2 linked regions of the Drosophila melanogaster genome follow. The protein of the gene in region 1 purifies or fractionates together with the protein of each later gene. This does not show direct contact. Each region holds a gene or a part of one and is shown in the gene's direction. Other genes may lie near its edges.

Region 1 (5,159 bases):
GAGTGCGCGCTGCACATACAGTCACACACAGACAGCCATCAATGTCAGCACAACACAACAACGTGGAAAAGGTCGAACGCAGAGATTTATATTTACCGTGCGGGAAAAAATCAATTTGGGGGATTTCAGCATGCCCGCCAAAAATAGAAAATCTCCGGCGATTACCCGAACAATATGTTGCCTATTTAGCGGAGTAAAAAGGTGCACTGCGAGAAAGGATTCCAATTGGTCTTGTCATTTTTAATACGTTTAGGAGGCGAAAAGAGTTTTATTATTTACTGCGGAATAGTAATAACATGTCTCTGTACCGAAAACTAGAAATATATGTATGTAAATGGCACTACTACAAATAATAATATTTAAACGAATTTAGGCGTAACAGCCATAGAGAAAATTTTGAAAAAACGACAGTCTGTTATGAGATTTGGATTAGTTATTTACTCCCCAGTGCCCCGAAGGCGGAGACTTATATTACCAAAAGCAGGAACTGCTCCCCAATTAGGTACACACAGCAGGCCAATGCACACAGACGTACTCTTACTACATAAGCGAGCCCATTCGAATGTGCGTCAATACATGGGCGGGGAAAGGGGCGGCTGGTTAAGTAGGCGGGGTCAGGCTACTGTGCGGGTTTCATGCAGCAGGCAGCGCTACGGATTCGCCCACAATCGCAAGTTTAAGGCCAAGTGAGTTCCACAGCTTGGGCACCACGCTCGAACTTCTGCAACTCGAACCAACATCTGTCAACATGCGAGAGTTCCATTCTGTATTTAAGTTGGCATATCATTAAATTCACGGGTTAGGCTACCAAGTACTTTGCATTGCTTTGATGTTGCTTTTACCGAGAAAGTAGTTTATAAAACGGTAATCCTTTGGTTCGAGTTACAGCATATGGAGCTAGAGTAGTTTCTACTTACAAACTGTGGTACTGCAGTATTCAAAACTCACCGTAAGCGCAATGCCCACTGTGGCGGAAAAGGAACCCAGTCGGAACTCGCCCGTATTGTATTTGACCAGGAAGGAGGTCTTTCCCACGCCCGAATCCCCCAGCAGGATCGTCTTGTGGTTAACCGTATCATCGAAGGGCTGCTGATGGGCGTTGGACGGGGCTGGGTGCATGTCCACTTCATCGTAGCGATACGATCGCCAACCATCGTTATAGTCATCGTCGTAGTCATCCGTTCCGTACGCATACATCTGCATTGCCTCGCGGGAGGGACGATAGCCAGGATATCCGGTGGCCGAGCGCTGAACGGGCGCCATGATAGCATCGTCGTGGTAGTGATGGCTGCCCGTCAAACTCAGCTGGCTGTGGTGGTGGTGGTGATGGTGGTGGGATGGTTGGTGGTGCGAGGATTGGTGGTGATGCGAAGGATTGTGATGTTGTTGCTGCTGCTGTGTCGTTGTCGTCGTTATCGAGGCGGAAACTGAGGCGGGCGCTGCGGGGGGATTGTAGGAGCCATCGCCAAAGGGCCGGCGACGCAGCTCCTCGATCCTGGCCTGGGTGGTCTCCGCATCCTCGAAGACGTCGTCGCTCATGCTGCTGGCGTCGTCGGGATGCGCTGATCCCGCTGGCGGTCCTCCCGCCCCGGGGTCACCTTCGCCGCCTCCCAGTCCCACCGCTGTGCTGGCCATTGGTTTCGATTTTATTGGATTGTGTCTTGGCCAAAAGTTGTGCTGACGCTTTTATCCTGAGCTTTCACTTTCTCATTGGTTTAGATTCGGGATTTGCTCTGAGCTTTATCTAGGCTTTCCCCTAATTAACTCCGAAACTGTCTCTTTTATTTGCGCATATTGAATAGAATTGTGTCACATTATCATCGACCCCTCTTCTGAGGATTTGTATGACCTCCTATTGCGGCGTTCCTTTCTCTTTTCTTTTTATAAACTCTTTTTTTAGGCAAAACGACTGATAAATACAAGCTATTCCATTGTCCTGTTTGCGTTAATATATGGCCGTAATGCTCAATCTACTGGTTAAAAAATAACCGGAAGTTTTCGTTAAGCTGTGTCTCTCTTTTGTTACTTTCTCTTTGCGATTTTGACACTTGGCATTGCTTCTCCCAATATAACTGTAACTGGCTAGCTTTTATCGCCTCTCATAGTTTTGACGTTTTCTCTGAGCTTTCTCTCATCGGCATTTCCGAGTTTTCTCTTTATGACTTTGACATTTACCGTTGTCCGTCGCTCCCGTCCGGTTGTGTGGCACGTTTTTCTGAATGAATCCGCTATTCGGGGCTTTCGCCTGGAGATGGGGTGGTTTGCCGTTGCTATTATTATTTCCTATATGCTATAAGCTTAATATTTTCGCCAGCCTTATCAGTTGGCCAGTTTTCCTAATCGCTATTCGTTAGTTTTTCGCTCCGTACAATTGAACTAGGTATTGGTTTTTCCCCTTTTTTGTTCGGTTGTTTGGTTGCTTGGTGTTTTGTTTGAAGCCACTAATTAAATATCATCTATGTAAATTGTAACTAGCTAAACATATTGACTAATATTTTATAGGTTATGCGCTAATTGGTGCTGTTTTCACTATGAATTAAACATTAATCTATTTATAGGGTTCGCAACAATTTGCTTGGTGTTTTTCTTTATGTTTTGGTTAAAGCTTTTGGTTAATTTCTCGTTTTCGTCGTTAAGTGTGAAGATTCTCCATGCGTTTCGCGTCCCTCGTCGAAAATATTGCGATTGATTTCAAGGGAATGGGTGTTATTTCAGTTGTTGGTCTTGGTGTTGTTGTTATTTCACTATCACAGCATAAATAAAATAATGTCATCGTCGTTGCCGCCCCCGCCACGCGAACCCTCGGCCAACATACAACTGGCATAAAATATCTGCAGTCGGCCACTTCCTTTCACATCCATCCTGAGCTTTCGGCGCTCTTGTGCTTTCTCACACTCTCTCCCGCACTTTCTCTCCCTCTTGAGGATGTGGCATTTGAAGAGTTCGAAGAGGGTAACTAGTTCAGTTGTAATCAAGTTAATTATCAAACTTAATTGAATAGGAATATGGGGCGAAGTATATGTGGCAATTTGTGATACAATAAGTGAAGCAGGACAAAGGAAAATCAAAACTCAATATGGGATGAAAGCAACACAACGATAAACGTTAACGAAAGTATAATATTTCGTTACCTGGAATTCAATTCAACATGCAGTTTAAAAAGAATACTGTACAAAGGATTCATTAAAAATGCGCTTATTAAAATTTGATTAAAAGCTATTTTATATTTAAGCTAATTGGTTTAACTTCTCGCCGGTTTAGTAATTTGTAGAAACGATAAAAGAAAATAGTGTATAAGGCAACAGCGCCAAAAAAATGTTTTCTAAAACATTTATATACCCCATTTATAAATAATAGAAAAATGTCAAGAAATTCTGAAAATATTTTAACAAAACATTTACATTTTAAAAACGCACAATTAGGTGTGTCTAGTCATCAAAGTTTTGAGTCTTTGCTAATTTTGCCAGGAAAGGGTGTGCGACACGGCTACTTGCTAAGATATGATCCCAGTTCTTTGTAGCACGGTAACTCTGCACCTCGCAGCACTATCGATTGTTTACATGAAAATAATCGAGTCGGACGACTATCGACGTACGCAGAATTGTAAACCAGAAGTTAATTGCAAATAAAACGAATAATAAAACGTTCCGAGAAGATTATTAATTAAAAATGACTGGTCGAGGCAAGGGGAGTAAGGGGAAGTTGGGGCGCGACAATGCGACCGACGATCCAGTCGATCTAGTGTACGCGGCTGAGAAAATCATCCAAAAGCGCGTTAAGAAGGTGAGATGAGCGTAAACAAATTCGAAAAAGGCGACCAAAACGGGATGCTCCGCTAAAAATGGCAAATGCAATATGCGCAGCACACGCAGGATATATGTATAGTCCACAAGGTCACATGTCCTTCGACATTTTTTGGCCAGAGGACATCTGCTGCTGCAACCACCATTTGCACGATGCATGTGTGTGTGCGTAGTGCGTTCGTATGTGTGTGTGTGTGTATGTGAGGCGTGTTTTTGTTTCGCTGAATGGAAAATCAATTAGTTGTCTAAGAAAATGCAATCCACCCCCACTCCTTCACTTACTCGATTTTCCAGGGCGTCGTGGAGTACCGTGTCAAGTGGAAGGGCTGGAACCAGCGCTACAACACCTGGGAACCGGAGGTAAACATCCTGGATCGCCGCCTCATCGACATCTACGAACAAACGAACAAATCCTCCGGAACTCCCTCCAAGCGAGGCATTAAGAAGAAGGAGAAAGAACCCGATCCGGAGCCGGAATCCGAGGAGGATGAGTACACCTTCACCGAAAACGATGTGGACACGCATCAAGCCACCACCTCATCGGCTACCCACGATAAGGAGTCGAAGAAGGAGAAGAAGCACCATCACCACCACCACCATCATCACCACATCAAGTCCGAACGCAACAGTGGACGGCGCTCGGAATCTCCGCTGACCCACCATCATCATCACCACCACCACGAGTCCAAGCGTCAGCGCATTGATCACAGCTCCTCCTCGAACAGCAGCTTCACGCACAACTCATTTGTCCCCGAGCCGGACAGCAACTCCTCCAGCTCCGAGGATCAGCCGCTGATCGGCACCAAACGCAAAGCCGAGGTGCTCAAGGAATCGGGCAAGATTGGAGTTACGATTAAGACCTCCCCAGATGGCCCCACTATTAAGCCTCAGCCGACCCAGCAGGTAACTCCCAGCCAGCAGCAGCCCTTCCAGGATCAGCAGCAAGCGGAAAAGATTGCCAGCGAGGCTGCAACGCAGCTGAAATCTGAGCAGCAGGCCACCCCACTGGCCACAGAAGCCATAAACACAACGCCCGCAGAGTCCGGAGCTGAGGAAGAAGAAGTAGCCAACGAGGAAGGCAACCAACAGGCGCCACAGGTTCCTTCCGAGAACAATAACATACCAAAACCGTGCAACAACCTGGCTATCAACCAGAAACAGCCGCTTACTCCTCTTTCGCCGCGTGCCCTTCCGCCGCGCTTCTGGCTGCCGGCCAAATGCAACATATCCAACCGGGTGGTGATCACAGACGTCACCGTAAACCTGGAGACCGTTACCATACGCGAGTGCAAGACGGAGCGCGGGTTTTTTCGTGAGCGCGACATGAAAGGCGATTCGTCGCCAGTAGCTTGAGCT
Region 2 (5,159 bases), on another chromosome or scaffold:
CAAAAGCACTTAATAAGCATAAAAATAATATGGCGGCTGCAAAAAGAAAAGAAAACGAGAAAAAACGAGCCGAGCAAAAAAGCAATACTAATCGGAATGATGAACACTTGTGGGCCTCAGCGACGTTGTTGTTGGAAGGGGTGGGAAGAGTGAGAAGACCGAGTCCAACCAACGCACCCATACCACAAATGATGCACGCACACACACACGGGCTGGAACAAAATGAAAAATGAAATGCCAAAGACAGGCACCTTGGGTCATGAACGGTAAATATGTGAAACATTTGAAAAATTAATTAATAAATATATTAATATGTAAGTGAAACTCTAAATCTTATATCTATGTTCCTAATAATATAATAATAATTATTTAATATAATAATAATTATTTAATAATAATAATAATTATTTTACACCATTACTTTTTTGTTTTACTGGCATAACCCAAGTCGACAGTTATGTACATACAAAGATATTTCTGTTCTACACAGCTATGTAAATCCTAAGTTTTACGTTGCTGCTCTATAAGATTGCTCCAGTGTGCCTTTGGTTGCCAAAGTACAACAATAATGCATTCCAATAACAATAGATCGAGTGCCACTGTGGGAACATATCACTCTGTCTCTGCGCATACGCTACCCCTTCCCTTCGCAAACGCTTCGTTCGTCTGTTTCCGACAAGCACAACCAATAATAAAGTAAGTTGTATAAAGTAAGAGCAAGGGAGAAAGGCGCTAGAGGTTGCCAAGTAGTGGTGGTTGTGAAGGAACGAAAAAAAGAAGATGAAGTATAGCAGCAATCGAATTTGAGTCGGGCGGTAGACATTCGAGTGTACAGACACAGAAAACTGGATTCGGTCTCGGGTATTTTATTTTGTTTTCACAGTGGAAGGGGGCGCACAGTCGGGGTGGTTGAGCACGCATACACATGCCCGCCAGCTGTAGTCTTGATTCCTGTTTTTTTTACTCGTTTTGGTTTTGCTTTGTCAACTGCTGCCGTTTCATTCCAACCCCAAGCGAACGCACGGCATCCCGCTCGCACGCGCTATCTGACCAGGGCCACTCCTAGTGGCGTCGCACTCGCACCCGTGCATTTCGGTATAGAGAAAAGTTATTAGTCGCAACGGTATCTGAGAGGAGAGAAGCGGATCCAGCTGCACACCAACACACACACACACACATTCAGCACACATGCGCTCATTTTGTTTCCGATCCGAGCAAAAGTAGAGTTGTCGCTGTAGCGCGCGGTTCAGTTTGAAACTTAACTTGGCGGCGTGCGGTTCTTGCGCTCTGCTCTCTTTGCGTTCGTGTTGGTGTGGTGTCGATGTGTCGCATACCGCATGTGTATTGAACGGGGGAAAAAAAAAGCGCCGACGCGACGCACACACACCCTACCACCGTTTCGTAGTATTTATTTATATATTTATTTTTGGCGATCAATGCAAATCGGTGCTGACTATAAGTGATTAGTGAAAACAATTAATGCTGTGCGGCGTCTAAAGTTGCGTCGTTTTGAATGTTAGGCATGTACAGGTGCCTCCAAATATACAATAATACAGTACAGCAAGGAAAGCAAAAATGAAAACGGTAAAACATATTTTTTCTGATGAGACGCTGTCGTCGGCGCATGCTCTTTGCCTGTTGTTTGCGCCGCATTGTTGTCATTGCTCCCTGCCTCTTCGTTTTCTCCTTCTCCTCTTCCTCTGTTTCTGCCTCTTGCAACTCAATTTTTGGCTAAGGGAAAAATCAAATAATGATGGCATTATTGTATGCCGCCACACGCACATGCACACACACACATGCACATATCGTGGCGCGGTAGAAAGAAACCAGTCTTTCGGTTGCAAGTTGAAGATGCTGCTGTGCCTAGGTTTATTACCCCCCTTCCAAATCCGTTCCGCTCTTAGCCTGCCGATGGAAATGGAAGCCAAAATCCACCCCCGATACACACCAAATGTAACTGAAACTCCTAACTATTATTGGTGGCGCCGGTTGCTCCTTCCGCTCCTCTGAGCCGCGGCCATTTCTTACTCCTGGACAACTGGCGACAGCATTTTGAGCGCCCAGCTTAGGTCTTTGAACCTGTCCCCTTGGATATCACCATGATGGCTTATAACCATCGCCCAAGGGCCATCCGTAAATAAAAGTGGTCTCCCTTACACCCACTCGAACTTCCTCTCTGCGTAGTAGATGGGAGGAGGTGATGGAGAAGGGGAATATGCAGCAGAGAGCAATCCTACTATAAATAGATGTTTCGGGCACAGGCAACGCTGACAAGTGACCTGCTTTAGGTGTTGGTGTGCATGCACATATGAAAAACAGTGCACTTTTAGTGGGTCACGAATCATGAACAAATTAAAATATTTATTTACCTGTTCCGTAAAAAGTACTGAATACACGGTGGGGCTAGTGTTGTACAAAGTTGTAGCTGCAATCATTTGTAATTTCCCATATAATATGTTGGTGTTTAAGCTTACCACGTCTCACCTAAACAGTATCCACTGTAAGTAAATTACCTCGTGAGTGAACGATCATCCAAAACAAAGTGTATCTCTCGTTCCCTTCTCACATTTTCGTCCCGACTTTGTTTTCGTTTTCGTTTTCTTTGGCGTTTTTGGACCCAGATCGATCCCGTCTTTGTCTTTCTCAATGGTAGTGCGTCCCTGTCGCACCCCCTTCTTTCTTTTTCTGTTCCTCGTCCCCCTTTTCGCGTTGGAGAGCAAGAGAGAGAGTCTTTGGCGGGAGTAACATGCAGTCGCAGTTTGTTGTTGTGCGGTTTGTTCGTCAAGCGCTAAGAGAATATGAATAAGAATATAAATATAAATTTAAACATGAATATGAAGCATGCCCCACGGATTCGGAGCCGCGCCAAGTGTGTCCGTGTTTGTTTGTGTTTAAAGCAATTTACTGATAGTCTGTGTGCGTTTCCTCTTTCTCTTTCCAGCAGTGGGGACACCGAAAGTGAATCAGCAACAACAATACGTACACCACCACCTTCCCCGGAAGCCACCACATCTGTAAAGGTCAACTCCACCACTCGCGTGGACCCCCAGCGGCCACTAAGGTGCCTGGAAACACTCGCCCAGAAGGCAGGCATCAGCTTCGACGAGGACTTTGCCAAGAGTCCATCCCAATCGCCCAGCTCTAAGGCAGCACGTGGGTCAGTCGGAACGCCATCAATCAGACGGCGCCACCCACTACTACCGCTCAGCAGCAGATCGCCAAGCGCACCCGACTCAAAGACAACCGGCCGCAAACTGGAGAAGTCACAGAGTCCAGCTCAACAGGTGGCGGCCGCCACCAATGTGCCGCTGCAGATCTCCCCCGAGCAGCTGCAGCAGTTATATGCAAACAATCCCTACGCCATTCAGGTGAAGCAAGAGTTTCCCACGCACACGACCAGTGGCAGTGGAACTGAACTAAAGCATGCAACCAACATTATGGAAGTTCAGCAGCAGTTGCAGCTGCAGCAGCAGCTGTCGGAAGCCAACGGTGGAGGAGCAGCCTCGGCCGGAGCCGGAGGAGCAGCTAGTCCGGCCAACTCGCAGCAAAGCCAGCAACAGCAGCACTCCACAGCCATCAGCACCATGTCGCCGATGCAATTGGCAGCGGCCACTGGAGGAGTTGGCGGGGATTGGACACAGGGAAGGACGGTGCAGCTAATGCAACCCTCCACCAGTTTCCTGTATCCCCAAATGATTGTGTCGGGAAATCTGTTGCATCCAGGAGGCCTCGGTCAGCAGCCAATCCAGGTGATCACCGCCGGCAAGCCATTCCAAGGCAACGGCCCCCAGATGCTTACCACCACGACTCAAAACGCCAAGCAAATGATCGGTGGCCAAGCGGGATTCGCTGGCGGAAATTACGCGACCTGCATTCCTTCGAACCACAATCAGTCGCCTCAGACGGTGCTCATCTCGCCGGTGAATGTCATCTCCCACTCGCCACAGCAGCAGCAAAACCTTCTGCAATCAATGGCCGCCGCAGCTCAACAACAGCAACTTACCCAACAGCAGCAGCAACAGCTTAACCAGCAGCAACAGCAGCTCAACCAGCAGCAGCAACAGCAACAGCTGACTGCCGCTCTGGCCAAGGTGGGAGTGGATGCGCAGGGCAAGCTGGCCCAGAAAGTGGTTCAGAAGGTGACCACCACCAGCAGCACGGTGCAGGCGGCGACGGGTCCTGGATCTACTGGGTCAACACAGACCCAGCAGGTGCAGCAGGTTCAGCAACAGCAGCAGCAGACCACCCAAACCACTCAGCAGTGCGTGCAGGTTTCACAGTCGACTTTGCCAGTCGGTGTGGGTGGACAGTCTGTTCAGACTGCCCAACTTTTGAACGCTGGCCAAGCGCAACAAATGCAGATCCCTTGGTTCTGGCAGAATGCGGCGGGCCTGCAACCCTTCGGCTCCAATCAGATCATCCTGCGAAACCAGCCAGACGGAACCCAAGGCATGTTCATTCAACAGCAACCGGCGACGCAGACTTTGCAGACCCAGCAAAACCGTAAGAATATTGTCATGTATATTGCATCGGATAGGTACTAAAGTCAACTATCTTCCTACAGAGATTATTCAATGCAACGTGACGCAGACGCCCACTAAGGCACGCACTCAACTGGATGCACTTGCTCCCAAGCAGCAACAGCAGCAGCAGCAGGTTGGCACTACCAACCAGACGCAGCAGCAGCAACTAGCGGTGGCTACTGCCCAGTTGCAGCAACAGCAGCAGCAACTCACTGCAGCCGCTCTGCAGCGACCAGGAGCCCCTGTCATGCCCCACAATGGAACTCAAGTGCGTCCGGCCAGTTCCGTATCCACACAGACTGCCCAGAACCAGAGCCTGCTGAAGGCCAAAATGCGCAACAAGCAGCAGCCGGTGCGCCCCGCTTTAGCCACATTGAAAACCGAAATCGGTCAAGTCGCAGGACAAAATAAGGTAGTAGGCCACCTGACCACCGTGCAGCAGCAGCAACAGGCGACGAATCTCCAGCAGGTGGTTAATGCGGCGGGCAACAAGTGAGTATTGTTTGTTTATTATCTGCCTTGTCACAGTACTTATTTTTGCATCTTTCCAGAATGGTTGTGATGAGCACAACGGGCACTCCGATCACCCTGCAGAATGGACAGACCCTTCATGCAGCCACTGCGGCAGGAGTCGAC

What was found.
Region 2: the proteins of Pc (region 1) and ph-d purify together in Drosophila melanogaster (affinity purification with western blotting; 11 studies listed by BioGRID, with this or other methods). This does not show direct contact.

Annotation. Positions count from the first base shown.
Region 1 is NT_037436.4:21,316,421-21,321,579, reverse strand, and holds the start of Pc (polycomb), read left to right. Parts: upstream 1-3,559; 5' UTR 3,560-3,669; coding exon 3,670-3,783; intron 3,784-4,097; coding exon 4,098-5,156; 3' UTR 5,157-5,159.
Region 2 is NC_004354.4:2,119,407-2,124,565, reverse strand, and holds the start of ph-d (polyhomeotic distal), read left to right. Parts: upstream 1-2,773; 5' UTR 2,774-2,841; coding exon 2,842-2,879; intron 2,880-2,941; coding exon 2,942-4,503; intron 4,504-4,564; coding exon 4,565-5,015; intron 5,016-5,074; coding exon 5,075-5,159.